3 linked regions of the Medicago truncatula genome follow. The protein of the gene in region 3 interacts with the protein of the main gene of each other region in a pairwise test. Links are inferred from orthologs where the notes say so. Each region holds a gene or a part of one and is shown on either strand. Other genes may lie near its edges.

Evidence for each region. The genes of interacting proteins can lie anywhere in the genome.
Region 1: the proteins of transcription factor TCP9 (region 3) and transcription factor KUA1 interact in binary tests that used the Arabidopsis thaliana proteins (3 or more experiments, as listed by UniProt). The link is inferred for Medicago truncatula from reciprocal best matches to the Arabidopsis thaliana genes TCP9 and AT5G47390.
Region 2: the proteins of transcription factor TCP9 (region 3) and transcription factor HEC3 interact in binary tests that used the Arabidopsis thaliana proteins (3 or more experiments, as listed by UniProt). The link is inferred for Medicago truncatula from reciprocal best matches to the Arabidopsis thaliana genes TCP9 and HEC3.

The regions. Positions count from the first base shown.
Region 1 is NC_053045.1:49,442,780-49,451,299, reverse strand, and holds the start of transcription factor KUA1, read right to left. Parts: upstream 3,455-8,520; 5' UTR 3,257-3,454; coding exon 2,977-3,256; intron 1,678-2,976; coding exon 1,469-1,677; intron 759-1,468; coding exon 267-758; 3' UTR 1-266. Other genes in the region: uncharacterized protein, read left to right, coding at 6,869-6,895, 6,967-7,551. UniProt on the Arabidopsis thaliana protein: Transcriptional repressor. Direct regulator of the transcription of peroxidase (Prxs) and reactive oxygen species (ROS)-related genes via the recognition of 5'-ATCACA-3' motif.
Region 2 is NC_053049.1:43,198,457-43,205,871, forward strand, and holds transcription factor HEC3, read left to right. Parts: upstream 1-5,394; 5' UTR 5,395-5,465; coding exon 5,466-6,263; 3' UTR 6,264-6,461; downstream 6,462-7,415. UniProt on the Arabidopsis thaliana protein: Required for the female reproductive tract development and fertility.
Region 3 is NC_053049.1:13,107,600-13,116,064, reverse strand, and holds transcription factor TCP9, read right to left. Parts: upstream 2,857-8,465; 5' UTR 2,711-2,856; coding exon 1,709-2,710; 3' UTR 1,279-1,708; downstream 1-1,278. Other genes in the region: uncharacterized protein, read left to right, coding at 6,523-6,835, 6,944-7,221.

The DNA.
Region 1 (8,520 bases), on a different chromosome or scaffold from region 3:
AACACTCAAATTGGAAGCACAACTTGGTAGATTGTCAAACTGCACAATCAAGCTTCACATAACCCTGAGAAATGCAAAGTTGAAAACTACTAAACAAACATCAAGTTTTAATTAAACCCAAGTAAATACTAGATGCTACTGCCTACAAGCGAACAAACAAACAAACTAGGTTAACCATTCTGGAAGGGCAAGTAAAAAATTATTAAGGTTATCCCAAACCAAGTATATTTGATGAATTACACAAGACCACATCATGATAATAATGCTCACAGAACAGTCCCACAAGCTGGAGTTGTATGAAAAGCAGACTGTCTAGACGGACCTTCTTCGAGTAGTTTACGAGACAGAGTCGAGGGGCCAGCATCACCAATAGTTTCACCTAAACTCAGTTTTGACATGCCAACGAGTTCATCGACATTGATTGGGCTCTTGGAATGTACTGGGGTTGGCTTCACCACTTCATGTGTTTCTTTCTTAGGAGCCGGCTCAGGACTGTATCCAGACCAATAGGGAAGAGGAAAAGGGAAGAATGGAGAATAATATGCCGGATATACTACTGGGTAAGCCGACGCTTGTGCATTGCTGTCGGGCTTTAATGGGGCAGAGGCAGACTCTCCATCGTTTGAGTTTGTAGAATCCATCGATTCACATTCTTCATCGAGCGGAGGAGGAGCAGGCAAAGGGTTATTGCCTTCTGTTTCAGTTTGTAGTTGATTAGCTGACAAGAAGTCTTGCGGTACCATTGAAGTATCAGGTGCCTGCAAAATCAAAACAAAAATACAAGAAATCCAGAAAAATTAGAAGGTTCAGAAGGAAAAGGAAAAGTGAGGTTACATAATGCTTATATAAATTTCAAAAGAGAACCACATCAGAAAATGCAATGTTTTTCCTCCAAACTAAATACCAATATTTTAAAAATCAGTACCGACATCAAATTGGTGAGAAATACAGGTCATGGTTCAATGAACTAAATGACAAATAAAAAAAGTTTTTTAAGAAAAAGTATTAAAAAAAAAACGGTTGAACCAGCCACAGTTGAACTGCGGTTCAACCAGCCAGCTATATAATTGGATTCAAACCAACCAGGGAACTAGTTGGTTCCCTCTCAGCACAACCGGTTGGTTGGTTCAGTCCGGCTATTAAAACATTGCTAAATACCCTAGAGCCATGGTTCTATAAATATCTAACCCGAACATTATTAATACACAGAGAGGTCATCAACATCCAAAATGTCCAGGAAATGGACAATTTTCCCAAATGGAAAACAGTGTCGTGTACATGAGACTCACTGACTTAATTTTCAAAGTATCCATAAAAGGTCAAACAATATCGTTAAAGAAAGAAACACATTTGGATAATCTTATCAAATGGTAATGAACAGGTTATGTGGCATCAATTTCATTATATGCAACATAATGTAAAGGAAACACATTTTATGCAAATAGAATTTGGAAATAAGGGGACAAACATCATCTGCAACAATATCAAACAGGCTGGACCGTCTCTTTCGCCTAGACACATTGCTTTGCCTGATGAAATATTTTTGAGCGTGACTGGCCACTTGAGTAGGTGTCCTTGATATAACATAGTTCCTGGCAATTCCACGCCAATCACCTTTGCCCAGCTTGTTCAATCCAAGTAAAAACATTCTATGTTCCTCCTCAGTCCATGGAGTGCCTGAAAAAAATATATTAAAAATCAAAAGCTGACAAAAACAACACAAGAATTTTCCGTGATCCCCGTTGAAGCTGACTGTAATATGAACTTCAAATAGATAAAATTCAAATTCAGCTAAACAGTACTGGTCTGAAACCTAGTTAAATGAGTCAAAGGCTTTAGGCCCCCAAAAAATTATACCTAACATTGACTATTTGAATGTTTAAAAAATAAAGCTTTAAATGCTGGCAAAAATAGCCACAAATCTCATTTGAAGCAAAAAGGTCTATCTAAAGTTTGATCTAGGCCCTACTCACTCTTGGGATGGATCGGAAGCCAAACCTTGCACATAGTATTAGATTTAGGGGAGGAAATAAGCTAGCCATGTTGTCGTTTAAGAAATGTGACCCTATTCAGGGTTGTGTGTAATCTGATAAAACTTAAGAAATCATCATCAAAAAGACCATTTTTTTCTCTGTCTTGACCCTTCGGTTCCTACTTCCTAGGGGAAAGGGCCTCTGGTAATCCAGAGTTCGACCTAGACGAAAATAAAGCTTGGCCAAAGATTGTTTTAGTCATGATTCGAACTCAGGTTCTCCTGAATTATTCGTCTTTAAGTGAAAGCTCATTAGAGCCGAACTATATAGCTAGAAAGAGCATATTCTGCTATTGCTTGCAGATCATTAGGGGTGAAACAAGCTAGACAAGGTTTGTTAAACACCTGCCACAGCCTGGTATTTAATCTATCATCATAGACTTTTTTCAACGCGTTTATTTTTTTTTTTAATGTAAAATATAAAGCCTAGTTTAGATAGCTGAAACAGTGTAATATATGCATATTAATGGACCACATCCCCCATAATTAGAGACTAGAATACACAACACATCCAAGTTAAACAGACACCAACCCAATAGACACTAAATAAGTAAATATGAGTAATTTTGAAGCACATGAGAAACATTGTTTTTGAACCACATGGCCTAAGACTTGTATCTATCCATTTCTTAGACCAAAATTCAGATACAAAATTCATGAAACATTCCAATAATTCTCTCAAAAGAGACAATCACTAATAAAGTTAACACGTATCAGTACCTTTCTTGTCTAGTTACTCCTACAATTACACCAACCAAAAATCAAAAATATAAATATTTTTTTGTCATAATCGTAAATACAAACCAATCCAAAACAAGATCACATAATTAATCCAATATAGTTGAATTCATCTAGCTCAAAAAAAAAAAACAGAACAAAATTAAATTCCAAAAATTCACATGCAAGCAAAAGAGTTAAAAAGAAAAAGGTTTTAAGAAACAAACCCTTTTTTCTTTCACGGGAAGTAGAAGAAGAACCAGGAACAAAATCCTCAGAACCATAGCCATCAGCACCATGATCAGGGTTTTCACCAGGTGAACCAGGAGTATTTGACCCGGTATTCAAAAGTCCAGACCCGGACCCGCTATAGTGGCTAAGATTACCCATACTAGCACTTTTCCGGATCCCATCGGTTAATCTTACTCCAAACAGCTTCACACCACGATTTGGACAGGTTCTTGAGTTGTGCCCATTGTGGCTGCAATGAGAACAACGACGGGTCATGATTTCTGAACCGGATCGAAGGAGAGAGGTGAATTATCGGGTTTTGAAGATCCGAATCACAGGATCCGAGACATGAAATGAAATTGAAGGTTTTAAGGTTTTTGTTTTTTTTGGTTTATTTGAGTTTATTATTATGTTTGGTTTGGTCTCCCTCGGGTTTTGCTGCAGAGAGAAAGAGAAAGAGAGAAAGACCAACAACACAACACTATCCATTTATCTATCTTGTCGTGGATAAAGAGAGGTAAAGATAAGATGCTACGCGGTGTTTTTTTTATGATACGTGATCGTTTCTTTTTGACCGTAGATTTGTTTCTGATTGTTGACGTGGCGGAGGATTAGAAGTTGAGTATAGTGATTGGGTTGCTTTTTTTTCTTCATGCAAGTGATTGGGTTGCTTTCGATACAGTACTTATCATCATCAACTTGATGAAACAATTACGTACTACTTTTCTTCGAAAGTGAGAAAGATAATATTCAGAATTGCAATGAAAAAATGTAGATATATATATATATATATATATGGATATTTTTGGATTAAACATTTGTCTTGGGAATTTATTAATTGTAAAAATTATTTAACAACTTTCTCTTTATTCTTCTATTTCTTCTTTCTCGTTCATTAGAAATCTGTTTTATCCATTAAAAAAAAAAAACACACACTAAATATCATTTCCTAAACACCAAGAGTAGCCTAGTGAAAAACTAAAGCCTTGGTTGATAAGGCATCCCAAATGATGGTCTAAACTTAATTCTGAAATTAGGAACATATTTAGCAGGGATAATTCACGTGGGTATATACTTCCAAACCTGAAGGTTGAGTATATTCTTGTGCAAAATAGCATCTCTATCTTTTTTGGTACAAAAGAGGATTGTGAATGCTTATCCACCTTATTATTAGTTATCCCACTCCAAAGGTCGTTTTTACCACCATTTCTCCAATTACAGTATTTATTTTCAAAGCCCTACTAAGAAGATTTAAAAGCAAAGCCATCCATTGTTAAAAAAGAATTGAACACAATAGTACTTTGAGTTTAATTAGATACATATCTATCATTTAATTATTTAATGTCATGTCATATTTTCTGTTTTAATTATTTTAAAATAAAGTTAAATTTTGCCTGACCAAAAAAAAAAAAAAAAGGTTAAATTTTGAATGAATTTTGTCACGGAGTATCAATATCCAACCAAAGTTCAATGTGTTTATGAATAAAAATAAAAATAAAAGAGCAAAGCTATCCATGAAATCAGTGGTACCGAATATATTTAAGATGTGTCCAATGAAGTACTTATTGTTGACTCTGAGTTTGCGAATGTTATTTACTATAGTGATGCATTTTTTCAAATTTATATAAAAATACAACTCCCTCGATTCCTTTTTAAGTGTCATTTTAAAAAATTTCCACGAAAAATAGCAAAGTGTATTTTTGCACATTTTCTTCCTATTATACCCTCAATTTAATCCACCAATATATTTATATATTTTGGCACACACTTTATCTTTCTAATAAATTTAATATGTTATATTTTTTCATAACAAACATTTTTTTTTTAGATCGTAACAAACATTTGTTACTTACTATCTTTTTCTCCAACAATTTTTTTTACACACTCCTTCTCATAACAAACAATTGTCAATTTTCGAAATATTGTGCACAACTCTTTAATTAATTTAAGTCAATATAAAAATTATTCCAACTTCACATTAATAAAAAGCTAAGAAAAAAATTATCTGTCCTCAAACTTATTTAATCAAAATTAAGGCTTCAACTATGGCTTTAACCAATGCTAGATCCACACTGGATGAAGATAACTTAGTAGAGCATACAGAAAAGAGCAACAATGGTACGTGTACAATATTTATCTCTTTACATTTGTTTAAATCTGAAGATAACAAGAAACAAATTTTGTTTTAAAAAAAAAACTTAGTTTAAAAAAAAAAACTTTAGTTTTTCAAATATATAACATTAATTAATTTTATTAAAAAAGATAAGAGTAACCAAACAAAGAAAAAAATATGAGTAATTGACAAATCGTACCATTAAAATACCAAAATGCAGTTAAATAAGAACAAAAAATTAACCTTAAAATGACACTTAAAAAGAAACGGATGGAGTAAATGTTAAATATATCTAAATACATACAATCGAATAATGACTATGCGATTTTTTTTTTTGTTTTAAATTTATTTATTTTCTATGGTAGCTGGTCAAACAACTGACCTTCTGGAAAGTTCATGTGATACACCTCTTCTAACATTTTGTGCGGTTAAGCTACCAAATTTTGGGATGATTTATTTTTTAAAATGACTACATTTATTTAATGAAATATGACGATAAATTTAAAAGACACAATAACATAAATATAAGGAGGGGTTTCATCAACACAAACAAATTCACAAGAGACATAATAACCAATTTAGCTAAGAAATGAGCCGCTTGATTCGCAACACGGTAAATATTTAAAAAATTTAAAGTAATGATACTTGATGTTAGTCTTTTGCAATCTTCAACTATTGCACCCAGTGGCGGAGGCACATAGTGCTGAGGGGATGCACTTGCCAACCCTCAAAATTAAATTTTTTCACATATATCCCTATGTTTTTAGCACTTTGAACCTCCTCATATTTTTTCTTTGCACCAGCTGACCCAAACCACCATCACTCACTCATTTACACATTTTAACTTCTCTCTAAACTATCTTCTCTTAACTTAGAAAACCCTTCTTCCTCCACTTCCACCACACCGGCGGCAGAACCACCACCAAACTCCACCGCGCCACCACCCAACCCATTCTATCTTCACTCTCGCGACCTTTCAACTACCATCTACAATCACGTTTTAGTTCTCTCTCCATCTCAAAAATCAGTTGCAATAAATCACCACCGTCTCCACCTTATTTTGCCGTCCTCCGCCGTCGTGCAACCGCAAAGGGACATTCAAAAGCTTTCAAAGACATTGAATCTACCACCAAGGTAATCAATTAAAAATCTTTGGTTTAGGGTTTTGAAATTTGGATTTTTTTTTTAGATGACTTCAATTGTGATAAATTGGTTGATTGAATATGCAATTGAGGGTCCTAATGATATGTCTGTGTTGTGAAATTGATTGGAGAATTGTTTTAAAGTGGCAATTTAACACTCATGGTTTTTTTGTTGTAAATGGTTCGCTTCAGATTTTTTAGTATCTGTTCAATTTGTTCAAAATGCAAAAAAACATATGAATCCTACTAATTTATCATGTTATTCTATTTGTTCAACTTGTGTGTTTCATTTCCATGTTGCTTTGTTTGAATCATGGTGAATGAGCTTCTGTTTTGATTTTTAAACCAAGAAACTAATATGAATCCTACTAATTTGTTTGAATCATGTTATTCTACTTTGTTTGAATCCTACTAATTTATCATGTTTCATTATAATAGTGAGTGAGCTTCTGTGTGACATTGTTTTACTCTAATGGGGATGGATGGTAAGAAAGGAGTGGTAGCACTAGATGAAAATGTGAAAGAATGTTGTTTTTTATTTCATACTCATTGAATCTTAAAGTTTGTTATTGTGTTTGGTGAACTTGATATTGATGTATAGTTCTATAACTGATGTTCTTGAAATGTTGAGAGATGATGTATCAATTAAAGATGGAAGAGGTGAAGCAAAAGGTCTTTTAATTCTCATGAATACTTTTGATTTTGCACTCACATTGCATTTAATGAAAAAGGTCTTAGGTTTTTCAAATGAATTGTCACAAGCATTGCAAAGGAAAGATCAAGACATCGTCAATGCTATGAACCTAATTAGCATCACAAAGGAGCGATTACAAGCTCTAAGAGATGATGGATGGGAACCTTTATTGGAGGAGGTAATTTTATTTGGCAATAAGCATGACATTAACATTCCAAGCATGGATGATATATTCTTCCGTGGAAAGTCAATACGTGGAGGTAACGCTGAATCTATCACAATAGGGAATCATTACCGCATTGAATTATTTTATACGGTTGTGGACATGCAACTTCAAGAACTTAATGATCGTTTTAATGAGACAAATAGTCGGTTGCTCATTTGTATGGAGAGTATGTGCCCAAACAACTCGTTCTCTAAATTTGACAAAGCAAAGTTGATTGAATTTGCAAAGTTTTATCCAATTGAATTTTCTCCAACTTCATTGGTGTTGCTTGATAGTCAACTTGACACTTACATCTTTGATATGCGTAGGAGTGTTGAATTTGCATCTTTGAAAGGAATAAGTGATCTTTCAAAAAAAAAATGGTTGCACTCAAAAAACATATTGATTATCCTTTAGTCTATGGACTTTTGAAGTTAGCAATGATTTTGCCCGTTGCCACATCAACCGTTGAACGAGCCTTTTCTGCTATGAAGATTGTGAAGTCTAGATTGCGTAATCGAATGGGAGATGATTGGATGAATGATTGTCTCGTGACTTATATTGAGAGAGATGTGGCGGACAAAATTGATGATGAGTTGATTATTCAACGATTTCAGAAGATGGCACCGCGTAAGGGACATTTGTAAAGAATGGATGAAGTTTTTTGAGTACATTGTAAATTGAATACAATGTAATTTTTTAGATATATATTATTATATTTATTATAAATTAAAGTTTAAAATTTTGAACCTCCTGACCCTGGGTCCCGGCAACGCCACTGATTGCACCTATATTATAAATAAATAAAGTAAAGAAAAGAGAATAAGAGCTTATACTCGGCAATGTCAATGACTCGTTATTACCTCTAATTTTAATTGAAAGTTTAATTTTACACCCTTATTTATTATTATGCTTATTTCTTTCGTAAATGAATAATAATAAATAAAGTAAAGTAAACCAAGTGAAGTCGAACCTCCTTATAAATAAACACTTATATTTCATAATATTAAATTGTTTATCCAAAGTAAATTGTTTATCCATAGATCGACGTATCTGTGTTACACAAACAAGAATTAGCCATATACATAGGGACGTACAAACTTTAGTTTTTTTTTACTACATGCAGCATTTAAGATTCCTCTCAGAATCATATGTGAGCTTGAACCGTTCATTCAAGTAGTCCCCACTATGTATTTGAGGGGAATCTGCAGAAAATATTGACAAAAGCTTGCAACATCTGATGTGTAAAAATAAGATTTATACGTAGCTTTCAATAAGAATAAGAAATATATATAATATATATAGAGAGCTTAATTAATGCTTAAACTCAAAAACACCAAATGAGAAGAAAATAGATATTGTGATTTAAAACAATAATCCAAACAC
Region 2 (7,415 bases), about 30 Mb from region 3:
AAATAAAAAACACAACGCATAAAGACGGGAAATCAAAACAAACATAGTCGTTCAAAGACGACGAAATCACAAAAACAAACGAAAGAAAACAGAAAATATGTGAAATCACTTATTAAATTAGGATAGAAGGAAAAACAATTTGGAACAGTGATTTTTGGGTCAAAATTGACCTTAAATCACCCCTCTTAAAAGAAGAAGAAGAAGAAGAAAAAGAAGAAGAAGAAGAAGAAAAGGGTGACGGCTAGGGTTTGAGAAGAAGAGAAGTGAGATAGGAAGAAAGGGGGAGTTAAATTTAGCTTGCTTAAATTTTTTCGGCAGAAAGGTTTTTCTATTTATTTATCTAAATGACATCAACCTTCAAGGTGCGTCAATGCTCGATATTAAATGAGACATGTGTATGGTTTTTCAAAAAAAAATCGTACGTTGGATAATGTTCTTTGATTGAGAAATCCTTCTATTTCTGGAAAATATAACATCAGCTTCCTTTTTTCCAAAGATTATTAGTTGGCTTCAAGAACACGATATATCCGAACTTAATTATTTGCTGATGAGCTAATTTTACGATTAATATAATGATCACCAATGTATTTGATATTTCCAAATCGTCTTGTGTGTTGAAGTAGTAGTAATTTCATACTATTGAAATAAATTATTCAATGACATTAATTAATACAAGAATACTAGTATGACACATGCGGGTGATGTCAAAATTAATTGTGACTTTGGAATTGTCTTCTTGTTTTTTTTATAGTAGATAGACGAAATGACAAAGCCATTATAAACTCATACACAAGTGGAGGTATTGAGGTTCGAATCCTGATCATGACGTTCGGCCTAACAATTTTGACGTTTTACCAGTTGAGCTAGGACTTGCTGACGGAATTGTCTTCTTATACATCAATAAATTACCGTAATTGTTGAGCCACGGAGAAAGGGGTTGCATCAAATTAAAGGGGGACTGTGTTCTATGTTCAATGATGATACATTTATTGCATATAGTTTTTTGAACTGGACTGAATAACAAGAGATATCTCTTTAGTTCTCCCTTAAAAAAAAAAGAGATATGTCATTAATTGGTAAATTACATGTAATTTATTCTAGCAACTATAGGAATTCAAAAAGGCTAGCACCAAATCAATTCTTTTGTTGGGTAGTACTACTACTAACCACCCTTTTTTTTAGGTCTAGATTACCCTCTCTTGTTTAGGGGTATTTTTATCCTTTCATATCAACCAATCAAAATGTAATATACAAATATAATATTAAATGTCAAATAAATGAGTCAATTTTTTCTATAAAAAAAAAATCAATTTTAATCCTAAGGTAACATTTAATTTAATTATATATTTAGGTATTCAATCTTAATTAATTTACACTATAGGTCTTGCAACAATTAAAATTTCACATCAAATTCAACCCATCATATAACACTAAAGGTCATTTATCTTATTTATTTGTAACACATTAGTCCTTTATCTTTTTTTTTTGTTCCATTTAGGTCCTTTATCTATTAAAACGTGCACAAGTTAATCCTTTTCTTAATTTTTCTATTAAAAAAACATGAAAATATTAATTTTATTAATAACTTTGTTTTAAAAAAAAAAAATAATAATAAATAAATTCATAAACCCTATGAATATTTCATCCTCATATTCATCATCTTCATCTTCTTCCTTATATCAAAAAAATTGTCCATCCAATAAACCTTCAAATTTCTTAAATATTTCCACTTCCATCTTCTTCTAAACACAAAATTCAAAATACTCAATTTTTTTTTTGAAGAAAAAATACTCAAATTTATAAACCCTAAGTTTGCCAAACCCATAAATCTGAATTTTAGATTTAAAGAAAGAAACCAAGAATTCAAAGTATCGATCGGGTTCTTGATTTCTATGAAATTTGATTATAATGGTGTTTGATGTGAGCTTGACGAGGATTGTGCATATGAGCTAGCTGTTTAGCTTTTTAGATTCTTAACCTTTTTGGATTTTTTACTAGTGTTATACAATGGTATAAACAATTTCTTATTGTTGCAGGCCAACCTCGCCTTCACTACCATCATAGATAGGAAAGCTACAGGGAAAATAATAATTGTATTCGATGAGAAAATTACAAGATCTAAGTTGTGATGATCTTTACTAAAACTATGCTTGAGCACTCAAACATGAGAGGTTTACTATCCAAATTGTGAGATTTTTTCTTTAAATCCAAAATCCAAATTTATCGGTTTGGTAAAATTAGGGTTTATGAAATTTGGGGATTTTGAATTTTGTGTTTAGAAGAAGATGGAAGTGAAAATATTTAAGGAATTTGAAGGTTTATTTGGATGAACAATTTTTTTGATTTAAGGAAGAAGATGAAGATGATGAATATGAGGATGAAATGTTTATAGGGTTTTTGAATTTAATTATTAAAAAATATTTTATAAAATAAAGTTATTAATAAAATTAATATTTTCATGTTTTTTTAATAGAAAAATGAAGAAAAGGATTAACTTGTGCACATTTTAATTGATAAAGGATCTAAATGGGACAAAGAAAAGATAAAGGACTAATGTGTTACAAATAAATAAAATAAAGGACATTTAGTGTAATTTTGCTTAAAATAAATTGACTCATTTATTTGACATTTAATGTTACATTTTGTATATTACATTTTGATTGGTTGATATCTTGAAAGGGTAAATACACTCTAAACAAGATAGGATAATGTAGAAAAAACCTCCTTTTTTAGGTACAAACTAACCATCATTTTCTATGAGGGGAAGCAAAATAATTTTCTTAATAAAAAATACGATCTCATTTGACTTAAAAAAATATCTAAATTATCGTAATTTTCGTACATATTTTTTCTTGCAATTTTTCGTGCATATTTTAATTAAAAATATAGTATTCCTTTTTACTTTAAATAGGATTTTTTTTTTTTATCAAGTGACTTAATATCTAAGCTGATACATATTAAGTGTGAAGGAATGAGGAATTTAAAGTTTCAACCTTGTCATCTCTATATCAACGTCCTTACCGTTATCAATTAACCTACTTAAAACTACACTGATATAACACATTTATAGTTAACAACTGAGTTGTATTTACATGAAAATGCATAGAGAACTCTATTTAACCGACTATCGATAAAGGATTTCATTTAATGAATAGTTGGCCATTTAAATTGGTCTTGGATTTTTGAGTTTGTAAACCGAAATTTTGAAGTCGCCATCCAACCAATCCCAAAATGAGTGAAGGAGACGGGGAGCGAATTAAATTATAGCAAGGAGCAAAAGGCATATGAAAATGGCAATAAATGGGAAGCAGCCCTAGGATTTCAGTGCACCTAACATCAAATTGGAGAGAGGAACCAATTCAATTACTATTTTCACCGTTAGCTACCTAGGCAGTGCATATGCATAAATACACTAATTAAGATAGAACGATTTCTATTATTTTCATTAGATGGATGCATATTTGATTAATGGTCGTACACATTGATGAGTCCAATTGCTACACGAAAATCATTCATATAAATATATATTTGGTTTGATATGTATGGATTGTCTAATTTTATCTAACAATCGTGATTTTTGACTAACTTATCACTATGTATGTTTTTATACATATATTTATTTCCCTTAAAAAATAAAATACAATTGATTTATCAATTCATAGACGTTAGTTAATTAAAACTAACCATGTATGTTTTTATACATATATTTATTTCCCTCTTTTGAGCCCTCTTGCACTTTTTCACGAGTGAGCTGTGAAACCTTTCTTATGCTTGCCTTGATAGGATTTGTTTATGTTTTATATTTTTATAAGTAGACATGTATTTCTTTGTATTTGTTCTCTTGTATTGTTGTATTCTTGTTTTTTTTTTTTTCTCTCCGTGATTTGTTTCATTGTATTTTTTGCTTTGGCTTTGCCCTTCTTGAGGCTGCTCTTTCCGTCACTTGACCTCTTTACAATTAAAAAAGTATAAATATATCACAATATTTTCATAAGCTCTTGTAAACACTTATAAAAAAAACGGCTTAAATATGTATTTCATCCTTGCAATTAGGGGTCGTTTAAAAATTGGTCCCTGTAATCGCTAATCCTGACAATTTACCCTTGCATTGTTTAATCATTTAAAATTTCGTCCCTCTCCCCACTTAATCACTGCCGCGTCACTAATTTGACGACGTGGCAATCACTATCACAAATGAAATTCCAATTTTACCCCTGAGTTTCCAATTCTTTCTTCAATATTTTGTCCTCTTCTTAAGGGCAAAATTGGAATTTTATATGTGGCAGTGATTAAGTTGGTCAAAGGACGAAATTTTAAATGATTAATGATTGCAAGGCTAGTTTGCAAGGATTACGAATACAGGGACCAATTTTTAAACGACCCTTGATTGCAAGGATGAAATACATATTTAAGCCTAAAAAAAACCTCTTAACATGACACTTCAAAATATTTCAAGACAATAATATTATTTTATTAAAGTTCAATTTCGTCTACATTTATTGGATAGGTCACAAAAGTCTACTTTTGGATTAACTAAAAGGCCTGTTTTTTATTTAGATAATATTAGGTCTAAAATAAATTAGTCAACACATATTTAATCGTGTGACGTTACATATATATTTATAATGAAATAAAAATTTTAATAAAATAAATTGTCTAAAAATATAACTATGAACTGAACTAGACTAGTATTTTTGAAGTTGGGATAGGAGGGGCTATAGCTAGGTATATGGATCAATCTCATGACTTTGTAGAACTACATTCGTTCAATTCAATTCAACCACTTTAATTTGCTGCACTGCACCATGCACTACCTTTTCTTTTCATTCATTTGTCTACATGCTTTTTGCAGTGACTCCCCTTTCAGTAAAAACCCCTTCCTACATATATAAATTACTTTCCCTTTTCTTTCTCAATTCTCTCCTTTCCTTTTGGGCCCCCTCTATACCCTCTACCCTCTTTTTCAACCATCAAAAACCTTCTTCAACGTTTCATATACAATACAACAATAAAAAAAACTTTCAAGCTAGGTAATATATTTTTAACCTCAATCTCCTTAATTTCTACTCCTTCACATTAATTATCTCCTCTTCTTCACACATGTGTGCGTTAACTATTATTTATAAGTAGCGTTGTTTCATTTCATATGATCATATCCAAAAATTTATTCTCTTCTTCTCTCATTCTCTTATCGTCTTTTGAGTTTGAGTATCATTTATATTCGTTTTATTGAATATTCATTTCTTCTGTTGTTCAAAAAAAAGTTGATCAAATATCTCAAATTAACCCCTTTTTATTGTTTATTCCCTCTTATCTTTTAGCTAATTAAAGTTTTTTTTTTGGTAGAATTTTAGCTAATTAAAGTATTAAATCAATAAAGATACACAAGATCATCTAACTAGCTAGATCCATCAAAATTAGAACCTAACACTTCATATTTTTCATATATATAATTGTTTTTGGTCATGGAAAATAACCAAAATAATACTAGTAGCGCATTCACAAGCACTTGGAATCTTGAAAAAATGGAAACAAATGAACAAAACCGTATTATTCTCCAACAAGATCATCATCAAGTTCCTATGAATTCTTCTGTAATTTGGCCACAAAATAACTACAGCAACATGATCATGGCACCACCACCACCACCATCTTCATCAGGTTCACTCAGTGACATCTTAGGGATCCATCGAATCGAAGACGTAGAAGAACAAGAAGAAGAGTTAGGAGCTATGAAGGAAATGATGTACAAGATTGCAGCTATGCAACCGGTGGACATCGACCCAGCAACGATTCGAAAACCAAAACGAAGAAACGTTCGAATCAGCGAAGATCCACAAAGTGTTGCAGCTAGACATAGAAGAGAAAGAATCAGTGAGAAGATTCGTATCCTTCAAAGACTTGTTCCTGGTGGAACTAAAATGGATACAGCTTCTATGCTTGATGAAGCCATTCGTTATGTTAAGTTTTTGAAGAGACAAATCAAGTTGCTTCAATCCACTCCTCAAAATCAACAACAACAACACATTCAATTGCCACTTTCATCACAATGCATTAATTCTACAACTCCTAGTGCTTTGTTATTGTCCCCTTCTTCCGGTTGTGACGTTTGGCCTTTTGCACCAAATTTACTACTCACTTCCACAACAGCTGCCACAGTGGACTTACCCGCCGGAGTTCAATTTGACGCCGGAGGACATTCACATGTTCATGCTTGTGATGGCTCATCAAGCTTTAACCATCATGAGGTAATTAGTGAGTGATTAATTAGTTAGGTTAAATTATATTATACTTAAATATTTTTATCTATGTATAAAAAGGACAGTCCATATTGCACAAGGTTTCACCAAGTGAAGTTTGCATAGGGTTGATGATTGTCTTCCCAAAGAGAGAAAAAAAATTCAGAATTCGAACTCATGACCTATGTCTTCTGTATAAGACAACAACCTTACCATTATTTATGTATGTGTATGAAATTGGAGAAGTATTTTTTATATTAGTATATGTATGTAACTATATAAGTTGATGATGAGTTTAGAGAAAGAGAAAAAAGAGGAAAAATAAATTAAAGAGTGAAGACGTATATATATATAGCTAGGTAGTATAGAGTAAAGTTTGATAGGGGAAATTGATCATGTGAGAGGGAAAAAGGTTTGTTAGGATTGTTGACTAAAGGTTGTGAAGAATAATCATAACGTTTGGCTTTGGTTACGTATAGAGGCATATATATATATATATATATATATATATATATATATATATATATATATATGTGTGTGTGTGTGTGTGTGTGTGTAATTATAAGAATAGAATAATGTGTATGCAGTTTGATTGTTGGCCGGAAAGTTTGTTTGGCCGACTCTCTTTCTGGGAATAAATTCAACAGTGACGTGAGAAACTATATAAATATTTATTGATCAATTTATAGTTATATAGTAATATCTCTCTATCTAGATTTCTTTTCTGTCTTTCTGTGCCTCTTTTCCATCTCTGTATATAAACATAATTACACATATGCATGCTTATTGGCATGTGTGCCGTATCTAAACAAACACACACAGACTCAAAGAGTGATTTGTACTCAACAAAAGACAGTGTATAATGTTAGAGTTTAACTAACTATTTATAGGTCTAGGTTTTGATATATTCTGATAATGTTGGTTGAACATGATTCCAAGACATAACTCGTGGTTACTTAAAGCTGAAGGTTCCTTATTATTAAAGGCCTGTGTGTGTATAGAACTGAAATGATTTGCATTTTATCTAAAGGAAGGAACTCTTGCTTAATGCTACTGTTTCCTGGTCGCAGCTGAATTGATTTTTTTATATACTTAGGTTTTTTTTTTACATGTTGAGGGTATTTTTTTAATGGAAAATTAAGTTTAGGGTTTTAATTTTGAAAGTAGTATATGCCA
Region 3 (8,465 bases):
CCCTGGAGCTTTTAAAACACATCATTTTGATCCAAGTAAGCAATGGTTACATCAGCATCAATTAAATGAAGATTGACAACATAGATAACGCTGAAATATTTTATCAACTAAAATAACATATTTAAAATTTTTGAAACTTACTAATTTGAAAATTGTATCAAACTAAAAGGATAAAAAATGATATATAACTTAATAAAAATATGGGTCTCGTTAACGGTGCTCCCGAAACACTCTTTAAGCATTCCAAATTTAATAATTATTCTTTCAAAGAATCAACTATTACAATTTCTAATGCATTCATTACAAAACTTTTAATTAAAAATTTATTATTTAAAGTGCTTAAAAAACATCCCAAACACATCAGTTAACATTTTTTTTTAAAATATTACAGAAAAAATGATGAAAAGTGATAAAATATACTTTCAAAAATCAAAATGGTTGTTTCCCCTTTTCCCATGAGTCCTACAAGAAAGAAAGCTCTACAAAAGTGGCCAGCATAAGATACTCCGTTTATTCTCTTTCTCTCTCACACACTTCCACACACCCACATCAATTTTCCTTCACATTTTCTTGGGCCAGGCAAACAAAAGCCAATAAAAAGGCTTCGTAACATGTAACGTGGGTCCACACTAAACCCCCACGTGTCTAACCAAAAGTGATACCCCACCTGTCAACATTCCATCACTCGACACGTGTCTCATGGACTCACTTGTCCCAAGTAGGGACCACTTTGAAAATCACCTCTTTGAGAAGTGTGCAAAAAGGGTCCCGTTTTGGGTCCACCCATTAGGCCATTCCTCCCTTGGGTCCCTCACCCACCCTCACATGACCACAATAAGAGGTGGACCCATATCCATTTTCACCAATAAATAAACCAAAAAATAAAATAGAGATACGTACAACAAAATAATTAATAAAATTATCGATATTAACCTAAAAACGCGTAGATGATATATCACGAGTTTCTTTTAGTTTAATTAAATTCTAAGTTTGAATTGAGTCTTGACCATGCATCAACGTTAAAAATCGAAAGTCAAAATTTTTGGTTGATAAAGATCTTATAAAAACTTATTTCAAGCAATGCGCAAAATCCGGTATCAAGAACAATAGCTATGGGACCTGAAACTACTACTTAATCTAGAACCTACAAGATGATGCTCATGATTTCAATAACTATACTACTGATTTAGAGGAGATTTTCAAAAAAAAATCATCTATTTAAATTTTACAAGACTCAAAAAATTAGTCTCCACAGTTGCATGCACAAATGATATCTAATTTACACCAAAAAAATTACATAGTATTAATACATTCTTAAAGAACATTTTTGTAACTGATTTTAAGTAGTACACTAATTACATAACTTCAAGGGATACTAACTTAAAATCAAGAATAAAACCTTTATAAAACCATGAATAACGGTTATTTTTATTCTAATTTTAATTGATAATATTCTTATTACACATCCAAAAATTAAATTTTGGCAGCTGTAGAGTAGAATAATAACAGTACTACTAGTACCCCCCATTGCACGGTTCAAGAAGCCAGCACCACCAATACTGGGCCCCACATTCCCCCCACTTTTCTAGTTGACCCACACATACATGGACCCCACCATTTCCCCTTCCCCACTCACGTGCCCACGTGCTCTTCTCTTTTCAAACAACATCGTTAACCAAATTCAACGTTCTCTGGTTCTATGGTTCTATCAATGCTTCGAAGAAGACCTTGATAATAACTGAAGCTCTTGTCTATCATAAATCTCCAATGAAAAATCCCTTAACATCTGAGTAGTGGTTGTTGCCGCCGTGCTTGGAGCCATCACGGTGGCTCTAGCTGGAGACTTTGTTGAAGGAGATAAAGAACATGAAGCTTGTTGAACTTGAATAACTGGTGTAACCATGGAAGAAACAAAACCGGTTATTGGTCTAGCCAATGTAAAAAACTGTGGTTGATTTGTTGGAACAACGAAAAAAGTGTTTCCGTTTGGTACAACAGCGTTTGATGGTATAGCCCAAACAGGAACCATGTTTTGTGGTAACTGAATTGTGGGTTGTTGAGGAATTAGGTTTAGGTTTGTGTTTGTGTTTATGTTTGAGGTTGTTATTAAACCGGATGAAACAGAAACAGTGGTGTCGTTTATATCTACGTAAGCACTGTTTGATGGTCGTTTACGTTTCTTTTTCTCAGGTGATTCATCGGATTGTTGGTTTGGTTCTTGGTTAGGGTTTTTGGTTGGGGAAGTGGTGGGGATTTTTAGTGTTCCGTTGACTGACATGGCGATGGCTGGGACTGTGCCGGTACCGGTGGCGGCAATGATAGCTGGCTCCGCGTGTTCGAGGAGCCAGCGTATTGTTTCGCCATCGGACTTATGTCCGAGTTCTCGGGTCAGCTGAAAGATCCGAGCTGCACATGTGGCAGGCATTCGGATCCTTCGGCCTCGACCCTCGACTTTTGTGTGACGGTCTTTTGTAGATGATCTCTTTTGAATTGTTTGTTGGGCTTGAGCTTGAGCTTGGGCCTGGGTTTGAGCTTGAGCTTGGGCTTGGGCTTGAACCAAGGCTTTGTTCACTTGCATGGACATAGGTATCCCCGGTGGCACGTGCATGGTCATCGGCATAACTTTTATCGCCGATACATCTTCTATTTCCGGTTCTTCTTTCGGCTCTCCAAGAGTGAGATCAATGTTTGTAGAATTTTCTTTAGCCATGAATGAAGAAATTGAAGGTAATGGATAAGGAAGATGATTTAGATTTGGTATAGAATTTGAATGCGAGAATGAAAGTGTGTGAATATATATAGCACAAAGAGAGTGTTGAGATTGAATGAAGAGTGAAAGGGTTGTTATTAAATGTAGGACATAGAGGGAGGTAGTAACCAGTGATATAGAAGGATGGGACCCTTATGATACCGTCTTATATGATATTACATGGAAAGAAATCTACGGTGATCGCTATTGGACCCACTATGATAAGGACTAATCCATGTGATGGGTCCATTCTTATGGGGTTAATGTTAGGAGGGTTTTGGTCAATGTTATACACTTGTTTGGCAAACTACACAAAACAATTGTTAAAAAGAGAGTGAAGGATAGGAAGAGGATGAAAAGAAGAAAAAAAAATGAAGAAAAAGAGTATGGAACTTGATAAGATTCTTTCTTGCATGATTAATTGATGATGGCATGAACTATTTGAAGGATAAGGGAAATGATTCTTTTTTATGTAAATATTTTTTGTATATAGGTTTTTTTTATATTTGGATAAATCTTTTTTCTTATATGATCTCATGCATTTTTTATGATCTTGTATGTGTGAAAGTCAATATGGTATAGTTTTTGTGCGACACAATGGAGTTAAAAACATAATGCTACTTGTATAGTAAAAAAAGAAGAGGAGTGTTAGTTTTACATAAAAAACAGATTTTGCATAGCGTATGGAATACATTTAGAGTTATTTGCGATTTGATTTTTGTCAAGGTTTGGGGTTCGAACCCCGACCACCATTAAAAAGTGATTTGATTTTTGTCTTAGTTCGAATTGGATATCTTCTACGTCGAACAATTAATTAAGATGATTTGATATGCAAAGCAAAATAAAATAATATCAAAATATAATGTAGGGTAAATAGTCATAATGTGTAATGAATATTACAATAGTCTCTCAATTCGTCGAAATTTCCAAATATTATCTGACTGTGCAATATGTTAGTCAAAATAATCTCTGACATTAAAATGATCGGCTAAATCTAATATTGTCGTATCAATCCATATAGGTATTTACATTATGTTATACAATTTCTGTAAGAAAAGAGTTACTATGAGCATCAAAAAAAATAATTTCTAGGTCAGAGACTGTTTTAACTGACGGAATATACAATCAAAAACTATTTTAGAACTTCGATACACAGATTATTGTGACTATTCGTTACACATTTATAGACGAAAATGACTACTTACACTATAATGTACAAGAGAAAATCAAAATATAGTATCAAATGTCAAAATACATTTTTGAAAAAAAATTCACAATGTTCTTTTAATAGAAATAATTTAGGATAAAGGAATTATGCATCCGTTCAAAGTTATTTTTACCACCCGATCAATTCCAGGAATTAATAATATCTCACCTAACAACTTTGAATTATTTTTATAAATAACATTTCCATGTATAAATAGTTTTGCTTTTACATGAGTGAGATATTAATTTATTATATTATATTTTTTTTGAGAGAATTTATAATATTATATTTATCAAGCTAACAACTTTGAATTATTTTGTATAAATAGTTTTTGCTTTACATGAGTGAGATACTAATTTATACTTTTTTTTATCAAGCTAACAACTTTGAATTATTTTGATTAAATAGTCCCATGTATGAATGGTTTTTGCTTTAAATGAGTGAGATACTAATTTATACTTTTTTTATCAAGAAATGACACGTATACAACTTCTTACAAGATTGTTTTTTTGACACGAACTTCCTACAAGAAATTAAAGTATTGGCCATACATCTAAGGTTGAATGCATTTAATTGATCATACATCTAAGGAGAGTTTTGTTAAAGGATGTTCTTAACAAATTTGCTAGTATATTGCCATCTTAGGAGAATAATACTTTTGTCTCATAAATCGTGCACTTAAATTTTTTAAAGTATAAACATTTTTATTTTTGATATAAAAATATTACATTTAAATTTCGTAGCATGTACTGAAAGAACATAAATTAACAAAACCCTATATTTAATGGAAAGAAAAAGAAAAAACAAAAAATGGTCCATCGAGACTGATGATAGAACACGAAATATCACACACTTAGCCAAAACAGTAGAATATAATATATCAGAAAAACTGAAAATCATTATGAAAAAACAAAATTAAAAAGTAAGAAATTATAAGATAGCCCAAAAGATACATCAATGTGGGAATTCCCTTTGCCGTAAGAGATTAAGATAAGAAATGACATCATGTAGAAAATGATAAGGAAATTGTTGTGCTTTTAGACTAAGAAAGTTTAATGACAAACTACAACTTATATTCATTGGAAAGAAATCAAACAAAATAAAGAAAACAAAACATAATAGAAAAAAGACAGCATTGACAAAGATCTGAAATCGAAAAGTCACAATAGTCAATGTATCGAAAGCATGTTTTGTGTGCATGTGTGTGTATCTTTGTAGAAGAGTATACATCATAGGATACGTGAAAGAAATAGTGAATGATTCATATTTCAGATAGGTTTGCTTCAACAAATTATGATTTTGGGTTTTCAACAAAATGTTGAAGAATATTTTAGTTGAAAAATCATTGATTTTTTAAAACCACATAATTCTTAATGAAGATTATAAGAATAATTAACTGCAAATATTGATCTTAATATAAGGAAATTCGTCATTATTTTCAAAATATTTGGTTGACGTGTATATGGATCATTTGAAGGAGCATAACATGTGACTGATTTTTCAAAACAATGTGGTATCCACCGCTCAGATGTTCGGTATAAGATGAAACCCATTCTTTGTGGTAGGTTCGTAAACACTTTTGGAATTGTCATCTCAATGTTAAATGGGATCATAAGCAATTTTTAACAAAGTTGGATGAAAATGGATAACAATAAAAATACTTTATGATTTAAATGACTGATATTTTTTTTTTGGTGAAGATTTAAATGACTGATATGTTAGAAGAAAATAATTAAAGAAATAATTTCTAACAAAAAATAATTAAAAGATTAACTTATTACAAACATCTAACTTAAAATGATCACTGGGTATTTGACCTAATATATAAAAGATCCTTTTCAATTTTAATTTGAAGAATAACAAATTTGATGTAATTATTAAATATTAAAATTACCAACAATTTTAGTTTTTTTTTTTTCAAAAAATAAACAATTTTAGTTTTTTTTTTTTTTTGAATGAGCTTATGAGCTCAAAGTAAAATAAAAATTGGGCGAGAAAAAAAAGGCGAACTCACTTAAAATTATGAGTTTATCTAATTTCACTATTTTGTCCAAACTTTGATTAACACTAAGCTCGCATCTTGCTATTGAATGAGCTGATGTATTTGTTTTGGAAAATGTTAAATAAGACAATTGAACTTGTTTTTCTTACACAAGGGGGTAGATTTCGTGGTACTTAACTCAAACATGTTTCACCTCTTATGCTCGTACCATTTACTGGATTCTCAAAATTATATATAAACTCGTGATCTTTCATGAAACTAAAATTGACAAGAATTATCACATCCAATTACTCACATTGTATCAAAAGATTTAACAATCGGAGAATTTTTCTTGAAATCACTATCCTTAACCCAATCTCAAGTGAGCAGACTTCTAAGATCTCTATTAAAAAGTAATGTGGGGAATACTTTATTTTGGTATGATAATTGGTTGGGGATACACCTTTATGTTGTAAATTCCCCCGCCTTTTTTATTTGTCTGTGAGCAAGGAGTGTACGGTGGAGGATATGAGTAGGGAAGGTTGGGAGGTTGGAGGTGGGGGGTGGGCGTGGAGGCGAAGATTAATGGCGTGGGAGGAGGAAAGTGTGAAGGAATGTTCTATGTTACTTTCTAATGTCATTTTGCAGGTTAATGTTCATGATTCTTGGATTTGGTTGATAGATCCTTCCCGTGGTTACACGGTACGGGAAGCATATCGCTTTCTCACTGATAATGGTAACGCTGGGAATAGGACTCTGGTTGAAGATGTTTGGCATAAGAGCATACCCACTAAGGTGTCAGTATTTGTGTGGCGCCTTTTCCGAAATAGACTTCCTACTAGAGACAACTTGGTTCATCGGCGAGTTCTTCTGATAGCAGACTCGGTTTGTGTGTCAGGTTGCGGTGCTTATAAAACCACAAATCACTTGTTTTGCATCTGTAATATTTTTAGTACGCATTGGGATCATATTTTGCATTGGTTAGGCTTATTTGTGGTGTTTCCAGGTGATATTCGGCGGCATTTTACACAATTCTCTAATTTGGTCGGATTGCCTAGAGCCACTCATTATTTCCTGAAAGTAATCTGGTTCGCTTATGTTTGGGCTATTTGGAAGGAAAGAAATAACCATGTGTTCCAAGAAACGGTTTGTGATCCTTCTTCTTTAGCTGAAAAAGTGAAGCTGAACTCTTTTATGTGGCTGAAAGCATCGCATACATCTTTTATTTATTCTTATTATGACTGGTGGAAACACCCAATTCCTTGCATGGGTGTTATTGTGTAATTTTCTGTAACTTTTTTATGGTGCTCTTCTAAAATAGCACCTTACTACTGTATCTTGGTTAATCGGTTTACCTTTTGCATGTCTTGTGCACGGTAAATCGCCATTGTTCATAATATATATCTCATTTTAGTTTGTTAAAAAAAAGAGTAATGTGGGGCTTAAACTTTTTTAAAACAAATTATTATTAATAAATTATTTGTATCATCACCAACACATAGAATAACTATTTCAATAGCCTATAGGATAAACTCAAACTCCAATTCAAAACCAATTTGTTTTTTTTTTCTTTTACTATTATTATTACAAGAACAAGAACAATTTTGGATGGGACTAGGCTTAAAAGTGATAAATACTTGGTCCATAGCACAATTAAAACAAATAAATATGACCATAACTTTTTATTCTCACCTTGTCTTATTTCATACGTATACATGATGTAGAAAGTGATGGGTGGCTCCACTTTTATTTCTCCATGCACCCCCCTTTTGAGGGGCCAGCCAGGGTCTGAAGAAGGTTAGGATTGGGACCCTATATGTGTGTGGTGCGCACGCTAACAATGGGGCATACCCACATATAAAGGTAAGTGAGCCCCACCGTACGACTCACAATGTTGGTCCCACTTTTTTATCTGTCAATCCAACGGTTGATTTCTTTCCATGTGGGCCCATGCACAAAAATGAGGTCATGACCATGCTGGTTTTTTTGGTTAGGGTACCTCTCTATACCCTCACTTTTGTAAGTGGACCACAAAGGAAAAATTAAAAAATAGTGGTGGACCCTTTGCTAGGTCATGTGGGACCCACCATTATATTTTCACACTCTCCATTCATCCACCTATTGGTTTTTGGGTTGGATTGTGTAATTAGTTGGGACCCTCCAATTCAATGGCAAAATGGGTATTGACTATTGACTTAGACACATTTTTCTCAATTGGTCCCTACTTTGTTTGTGTAATTAATTGATATTTTTACCTCTTCTAATACTTACTTCTGGAAGGGGGACCTTTACTTGTGGGGCCTGTTACCTGCAACTTATGGTGTGTAGGGTGTCCCATCTACTATGTCCTACAAAGTGTTTTTTATTCAACAAAAAGTTTAATTATTTGTTAATTAGTTTTTATCCTACCAACTCTTGTCTACTTCTAATACGTAATAGTCGCATGACAAAGTGTAAATATTTTGTTTGATAACTTTATTTTATTTTCTATTCATCAATATTTTTTTTAGGGAAATCAATAAGTGTTT